Linked DNA regions of Arabidopsis thaliana. The protein of the gene in region 1 interacts with the protein of each later gene in a pairwise test. Each region holds a gene or a part of one and is shown in the gene's direction. Other genes may lie near its edges.

Region 1 (3,758 bases):
TACATTCCGAGCCCTTCAACTTTGCAAATCGCACCACGGCCACATAGCCCATCACAAGACAGGGCGTTTGAACTAAGAAGAGTGTCATTTACCCCGAATGAAGAACGGTTAACTACGCAAACTATACATTTTGAAGATGAAGAATCTGATATTGAATGTGTTGTTGAACAATAGAGATAAGTTTAGAAGATTCCATAACAAGTTATAGATAGGATAAGCTAAGTTCGCTGCATATATTCCTAACAAAGCTATTATTCTTTTATTTATAACAAAGTTTATATTAATAGGATTGCATTGCAAAAATATAGCAACTCTAAAAACTTCATATGTACATAGTGGCAAGTGACTTTAAGGAAAGTTCCTAGTTCCAAATAAACGAGGATAACTATTCGCATCCATTCCCAACCAGGGTCGTGAAAGAGGGCTCTGGTCATTCATGATCCATCCACCATGCGTGATTCTTACATCTCGGCCAAAAGATCCAATAATTTACTATATCATTATTTGCAAATGCTCATAGCTCTACAATATCACAATCTCAAGCAAGAAGAAGCGTAACAGAGGAAGAAAGATAAAGGTACACATAGTTATGTAAAAGCAATCACTGCCTTTCACGAAGTGGTTGTCCTTTAGCGAAACCCTCTCTTCGAATTGGAGACTTTTTTAGCTTTATAACCCAAGCTAAACAACTCAACGTCCTCCAGTTACCCTTTAATGACTTAAATCGGACCAAATGCATTTCAATTTAATCAATTCTTCAACACAACAGAATTTTAAGAAATTAGACTATTGTATATCAACCATAAAAAATTGTTTATGTCGTCATCACCCACGTAAATGTAGATTCTTCAGTTATATCCAAAATCATGTACTGTAATTTAGGATTAATGTATTTTCATTGTTTTGGAAAAAATAATGTTGACGAATATTTGTTTTCGATTTGCCCATATTATACGTCTTCTTGACCTATTCTCGAACATGCGTAAGAGAATGTTGTTCTACAACGGACAATCATATTGTGTATGGCATAGTTGAACAAACTAAATCTGAATAAATCCAAACTAAGAAAATTCCGTTAATTTCCGACTGCTCGTAAAAAATAAAATTAAAAATCTTGGAGGGAAACTCACTTCACTTACCCTATATTTTTTAATTTCTGTATGCTAATTCCACCAAAGTACACATATCTACAAGATACACTCTTCTATAAAACATTTATTTATTTTATAGTAGTACGACAATTTTTGATACATTTTATTTCTAAGAATTCTTTAAAAACGGTTCATTGCATTTTTTTGCGTTAATTGTATGGACATATCTACATATATAAGCTATTTTTAGTGTTTTTGTGTGCAAGCATATAATTATTCTCAACCATTTTTTTTAATTTAATCCTATTACATTTCCCAAACACATTTTTGCTTATTCTTATTCTCTTTAAAACACATATATTTCCAAATATTACCTCTAACCTATTTCGATTATTGTAATTCCTATTGCAAAACACATTTGAAAATTCTTAAAGTTGGCCAAAACAATTATTAAAAAATTATAATATTTAAATTTACCATTAAATCTGGATAAAATGTATATATTCTTTTTATATAAGAAAAGCTTACAATAGTATTTATCTCGTGCATTAGCATGGGATGGATGTATAAAACATTAGTTTTTTTCTTCAGAAAGGCTATCCTCAAAAATAGATCTCAAAAAGGGTTAAGAATCTTATTTTGCACAATTAACTCTTAATTATTTCAATTATGATATTATAATATGTCAATTACAATACTAAAAGTAAAAAAAAGAAAGAATTGCGATCCTTATATTTTATAAAATAGACGATTTGGTTATTTAATAAGTTATGGGTATTTTGTAGTTTGCTTTTCAAAGAGAATTCATCTGCAAAAGCCTCATTTGACTCTTTCAAACCAGTTTTATTAATTTCTAGTCAACACACTTTTTTTTAAAAAAAAATCGATATGTCTCTTTCGTTGAGAAACCAATTTTTGGCATAGTATTTCAAAGTCTTTCATTGATTATAAGTATCTTTCAAACCGATCCTTCCACTGTATATATATAACAGGAAAAAAGTAAGTTAAAGAATCACATAAAGTCTCCTCAGTTTTGGGGCGATTATGATGATGAAAACTAATAACACCTTTTTGAGTTACTTTGTTTGCGGTTTTTTGTTGATGGGGGTTGGTTTAGGACAAAACCAAACAAGTGAAATCAAAGTAGGAGTAGTTCTTGATCTCAATACAACATTTTCCAAGATCTGCCTCACTTCTATAAAGATGGCCGTGTCCGATTTCTACGCGGATCATCCAAATTACCTCACAAGACTTACGCTTCACGTTAGAGATTCCATGGAAGATACTGTTCAGGCTTCAGCTGCAGGTTCGTTACTTCTCTATGTCTTGCTTCAGCTTCCCGTCATTTTGATTTATTACTTATTAGTTGCGGTTGAATGAAACATATTACGTATAGACATGGTTTAGCTAATTACTATTTTATTGAATGTGACCAATATTTTAGATCAGTATTAAAAATCAAAGTATCATATGGGGGTATATGCTAAGAGTCTTGGTGACGATTTATCTTTTAGACTATACTTCAAAAACCAAGTGTATTCTTATGTGGTCTAATGTCTATGGTAAGAGCAATCTCTTGATAGAGAAGTCCAATTTTTTTCTCTTCTAGAAATTCATGGTGACGGTTGTATGGTCGCAGAAATCCTGATTACTATTAGTCTCGTTAATTATATTTAACTCATGAGTCTTAATATATTAGATGAATAGTCGAAAACTATTGGTGACATGTCTTATGATACCTCTACAATTTTAACTATTTATGTAAATTAATATTGTCTTATTACTTTGCAACTAGAGCTCTTTTGGACTCGACAAACATGGCTTAGCCTTATAAGTTGTAACTCTTCCATTGAAAATGGAAGATATTATATCCAAAAACAGAGGATATTTAACCTTTCTTCTTTTCTTTATGTTGCTTGTGGTGCAAGCAGCCTTGGACCTAATCAAAACCGAGCAAGTGAGCGCCATCATCGGACCAATAAACTCTATGCAAGCAGATTTTATGATCAAACTGGCCAACAAAACTCAAGTACCGACCATCACATTCTCTGCAACAAGCCCTCTTTTGACATCCATCAAAAGCCCTTACTTCGTCAGAGCCACTATCGACGACTCATCCCAGGTCAGGGCCATTGCGTCCATTTTCAAATTCTTTAGGTGGAGAAGGGTCGTCGCAATTTATGTGGACAACGAGTTTGGTGAAGGATTCATGCCTTTCTTGTTTGACGCTTTACAAGACGTGGAAGTCAAGAGAAGTGTGATCCCTCCGGAGGCTATCGATGATGAGATTCAGAAAGAACTTCGTAAGCTCATGGAGAGGCAAGCGAGAGTATTTGTTGTCCACATGGAATCAAGTCTCGCTTTACGGGTTTTTCAGATAGCTAGGGATATCGGGATGATGGAGGAAGGGTATGTATGGTTAATGACCAATGGAATGACGCATATGATGAGACATATAAACAATGGTCGTAGCTTAAATACTATAGAGGGCGTGTTAGGTGTGAGGAGCCATGTCCCCAAATCGAAAGAGCTCGGAGATTTCCGTTTGAGATGGAAAAGAACATTTGAGAAGGAGAATCCATCGATGAGAGATGATCTAAACGTTTTTGCATTATGGGCATATGATTCAATTACTGCATTGGCTAAGGCTGTGGAGAAAGCCAACAC
Region 2 (3,758 bases), on another chromosome or scaffold:
AAAAAAACGAAGCTAAGACTGAAGCATAAAAGAGGGTTTTTCAATGTAAATATAATTATTTTTGTTTGTAATTGTCTACAATATGAACTATACAAATTTTAATTAGAGTAAGTGAAAAATAAATAAATTAGAGTAAGTGATACATCAAGGATATTAAGTTATTAACACGATGACAAAAAAAAAAAAAAAAAAGTTATTTACACAAACCATTGATTAGGTATTCAATGATGGGCCTATAAATGTTGGGGCTGGGAAGTCCAAATCTTTTTAGACGTTGGTAAGAAAATGAGGCAAACCCGAACTTTGATTTTGGGATATGAAATTGTTTTATATTCTTGCAGAGTTGTGACAGAAAGGTCCAAAACAAACTTTGTTCAATGACTTGATTTCTATTGGGCCGGCAATGTTTTCAATACTCAAGAGCCTTTTAATATTCTTAAAATAGTTTTTTTTTTTTTTTTTCTATTTTGCAAACGGCAGATGACATTTTGTAATTTTCGTATTTGTTTCTCAAAATTTTGTATGGACCTAGTTAAATCTTGAAAAATAATATAACATAATCAAAGTTATTATTTTTCACATACAAGATACATGTAAAGTATAACCACTAAAAGCAATAGGTTTTGACTTCATATAAATGAGTGAAATAGCTAGAAGGAACCGCATGTAAACGGACTGAGTCTGTACAAACCATGCTTCAGATTTCATCCAGTAATTAAATCCTTACATCAGGAAATCAATCAGAAGAAACATTTAGGTATCTCATGATTTGCTTAACTTTCTTAGATTAATGTTTCTGCCCTTAGTAGCAATAAAGTAATCTAGGACAAAAAGGTGTGGGTCTCATTTTTCTCTTTTACAGACAAGTGATGAAAAAGACATGTATAATCTTTCATGCCGCTATACCATGAACCTTCCGTTCGACTTCTTCACTCTACTGTTTATTGCATTTCTGACCAGTAGAACAGATAATCCATGTATAGAACAGTTTTGCAAATATAAATTACTGGTTAGATATATATACGTATAGTCAAATATGGCGGGATATTAATCACTTTAATATTCATTTAGATACTAATAAATGGATCAACTTCATAGGTGTGGATCCTTGGATGCACATGCATGGAGAATAGTCAAATTCAAATATATCAATTCAGAAAAACGAAGGGTGGTCGACCAAGAGCGACTTTTCAAACCATCAAATAATTGATAAGGACGATAAATTTTATTTCTTTCAAGTTAATATAATACATATATAAATAAACATATCAATTTATATTTGGCTCGAAAATAGTCATATTTAATTTTAAATAAAATAATTGAAGATAACAACTATACACACATATATTCGTAAACGTAAAAGCAAAGATGATTACTATCTAATTTATCTATGATAAAAAATCAGATCCATAATCAAGTTGACTGTGCATGGGTGACTGGATCTAAATTTCTAAACAAGACAAACCTAAGATTAAAATAAAGACGTTTTGATTATTGAGCCGTTTTATCATATATATATACGCGGGACGACCTATTCTAAATCTCTAATAATATTTAATAAAATGCTACTTGTGTTTCTACACAAAATAATAAGCGAACACAGTTTGATTTGCCCAAGCGTCCAAGACCACGACCAAGTCCACTGAATATTAAAAATTGAGCGAAAAACAAGATTTAGAAAAGTTTTTATGATTTTGTTCAAAAAAACAAAAAAAATATGACGTGTAAATTATAAAATATCAAAGTGTCCAGAGACCAGTTGACAAAAACATCCAATCCTCAAGTTGCATAAGTTCGAGCTGCTCAGAAACTTCGAAGTTCCTCACAACTCTTCTTTACCCACTTTTCTTATATCTGCTTTCCAAAACAGAGAAACCCCAAGAAAAGAAAAAGAAAAAAGAAAAGAGAAGAAAGAAGCAGGAGGAGACTTTTTGGAATGGAGAGACAAAAGAGCATGGAAAAAGGGTTACTCAGGAAGAGCTTAAGCATACGTGAGAGAAAGTTCCCTAACGAAGACGCTTTCTTAGAATCCGGTTTATCGAGGAAGTCTCCGCGAGAGGTCAAGAAACCTCAAAACGACGATGGTGAATGTCGTGTTACCGCCTCTGTTTTCCTCAGCACCTTTGTTGCCGTATCAGGCTCCTTCTGTACCGGTTGTGGCGTGAGTCTTCTTCTTTTCTTGATTCAATCTCGGTTCATACCAACCGATTTTCAATATCTTCCGAGTTTCGGTTTGACTCTGAATTTGAAGGTGAATTTACTGAACCGGCTTAATTTCTCGGTTTTGTAGGTTGGTTTTTCATCGGGTGCACAAGCAGGGATTACCAAAGATTTATCTCTCTCCGTTGCAGAAGTATGTAATCAATAATCTTTAGTTACTTCAACATGTAATTACTTCTATATTGACCGTATTTAATTGATTTTACAGTACTCAATGTTCGGGTCGATCTTGACATTAGGAGGCTTGATCGGTGCAGTATTCAGCGGTAAAGTCGCTGATGTCTTGGGAAGAAAACGGGTAAGAAGATTAATACAAGTTTCGGTTTATGATTTTTGTGAACCAAACCCAAATGCTGTCTCATGGTTTGGTTTGACTCGAACCGGTTTTTACTTTAACCATTTTTCCCACTTTTTCTGAAACAGACGATGTTGTTTTGCGAATTCTTCTGTATCACAGGCTGGCTTTGTGTAGCATTGGCTCAGGTTTTTTGTCTAAACTACTTGTCGTTTGTCCTTTTGCTGACTTGTCACAATTTATTTATATTATCCTTTTATTAATTTCTGTGTTTTCTTAAAAAAATATTTTTATTTTAATATTTTGAAGAATGCAATGTGGCTGGACTGTGGAAGATTGTTACTTGGAATCGGCGTTGGTATATTTAGCTACGTGGTAATTCCTCTTTTTCCAAATTCATTCTCATCACACAAATTTCTGTACTAAAATAAGAGAATTACTGATAAAAAGTTGTGTTTCATGTAGATTCCGGTGTATATAGCCGAAATTGCACCTAAACATGTCCGAGGATCGTTTGTGTTCGCCAATCAGGTACGTAAATTTCTATTTAATTTACTTTACTGTTATTTTTAAAACACATGTATTAAATTTTCGTTATATAACATGCTTTTTTTTTTGTTAAAATGTGAACAGTTGATGCAAAATTGCGGAATTTCACTCTTCTTCATCATTGGCAATTTTATTCCATGGAGACTACTAACAGTAGTCGGTATGATTCTGTTTAGAGATTGTAATCTAAAATATATTTTTTTAAATGATAGATGTAATGTAATTCGAACCGGTCAATTTAACATGATGTTTGTATGTTTGCAGGATTGGTGCCATGTGTGTTCCACGTCTTTTGTTTATTTTTCATCCCCGAATCTCCAAGATGGCTGGTAAGTTTTTATTTATTTAAATATTTGCAAATATAGTATTGGTTTCTATGATTATAACCAATCAAAAGCCGGTAAATATTTTGAAACTTGGTTCAAGCATTTGTAAATATTTGTTGGTGCTTCTTCATATATACTGTTATATATGACAGGCGAAGTTAGGTCGTGATAAAGAATGCCGATCTTCGTTGCAACGCCTTAGGGGATCTGACGTCGATATTTCTCGTGAAGCAAACACAATTAGAGTATGCAAAATTTAGTGTTCATTTTAATATATTCTATCTATTATTTACTAATGTTGGGTTTTCAATATTTATTGTTTTTTTTTTTGAAAAAATTGATTTCTTTTTTTTTCAGGATACCATTGA

The links. Proteins that work in one complex are often made in the same cells at the same time.
Region 2: the proteins of GLR2.9 (region 1) and ERD6 interact in a protein complementation assay, tested with the Arabidopsis thaliana proteins (one large-scale study listed by BioGRID).

Annotation. Positions count from the first base shown.
Region 1 is NC_003071.7:12,503,296-12,507,053, reverse strand, and holds the start of GLR2.9 (glutamate receptor 2.9), read left to right. Parts: upstream 1-2,109; 5' UTR 2,110-2,135; coding exon 2,136-2,397; intron 2,398-3,022; coding exon 3,023-3,758. Other genes in the region: GLR2.8 (glutamate receptor 2.8), read left to right, coding at 1-174. UniProt on the Arabidopsis thaliana protein: Glutamate-gated receptor that probably acts as a non-selective cation channel. May be involved in light-signal transduction and calcium homeostasis via the regulation of calcium influx into cells.
Region 2 is NC_003070.9:2,871,668-2,875,425, forward strand, and holds the start of ERD6 (Major facilitator superfamily protein), read left to right. Parts: upstream 1-1,632; 5' UTR 1,633-1,936; coding exon 1,937-2,161; intron 2,162-2,290; coding exon 2,291-2,353; intron 2,354-2,428; coding exon 2,429-2,518; intron 2,519-2,643; coding exon 2,644-2,703; intron 2,704-2,824; coding exon 2,825-2,890; intron 2,891-2,980; coding exon 2,981-3,046; intron 3,047-3,148; coding exon 3,149-3,224; intron 3,225-3,328; coding exon 3,329-3,393; intron 3,394-3,542; coding exon 3,543-3,635; intron 3,636-3,747; coding exon 3,748-3,758. UniProt on the Arabidopsis thaliana protein: Sugar transporter.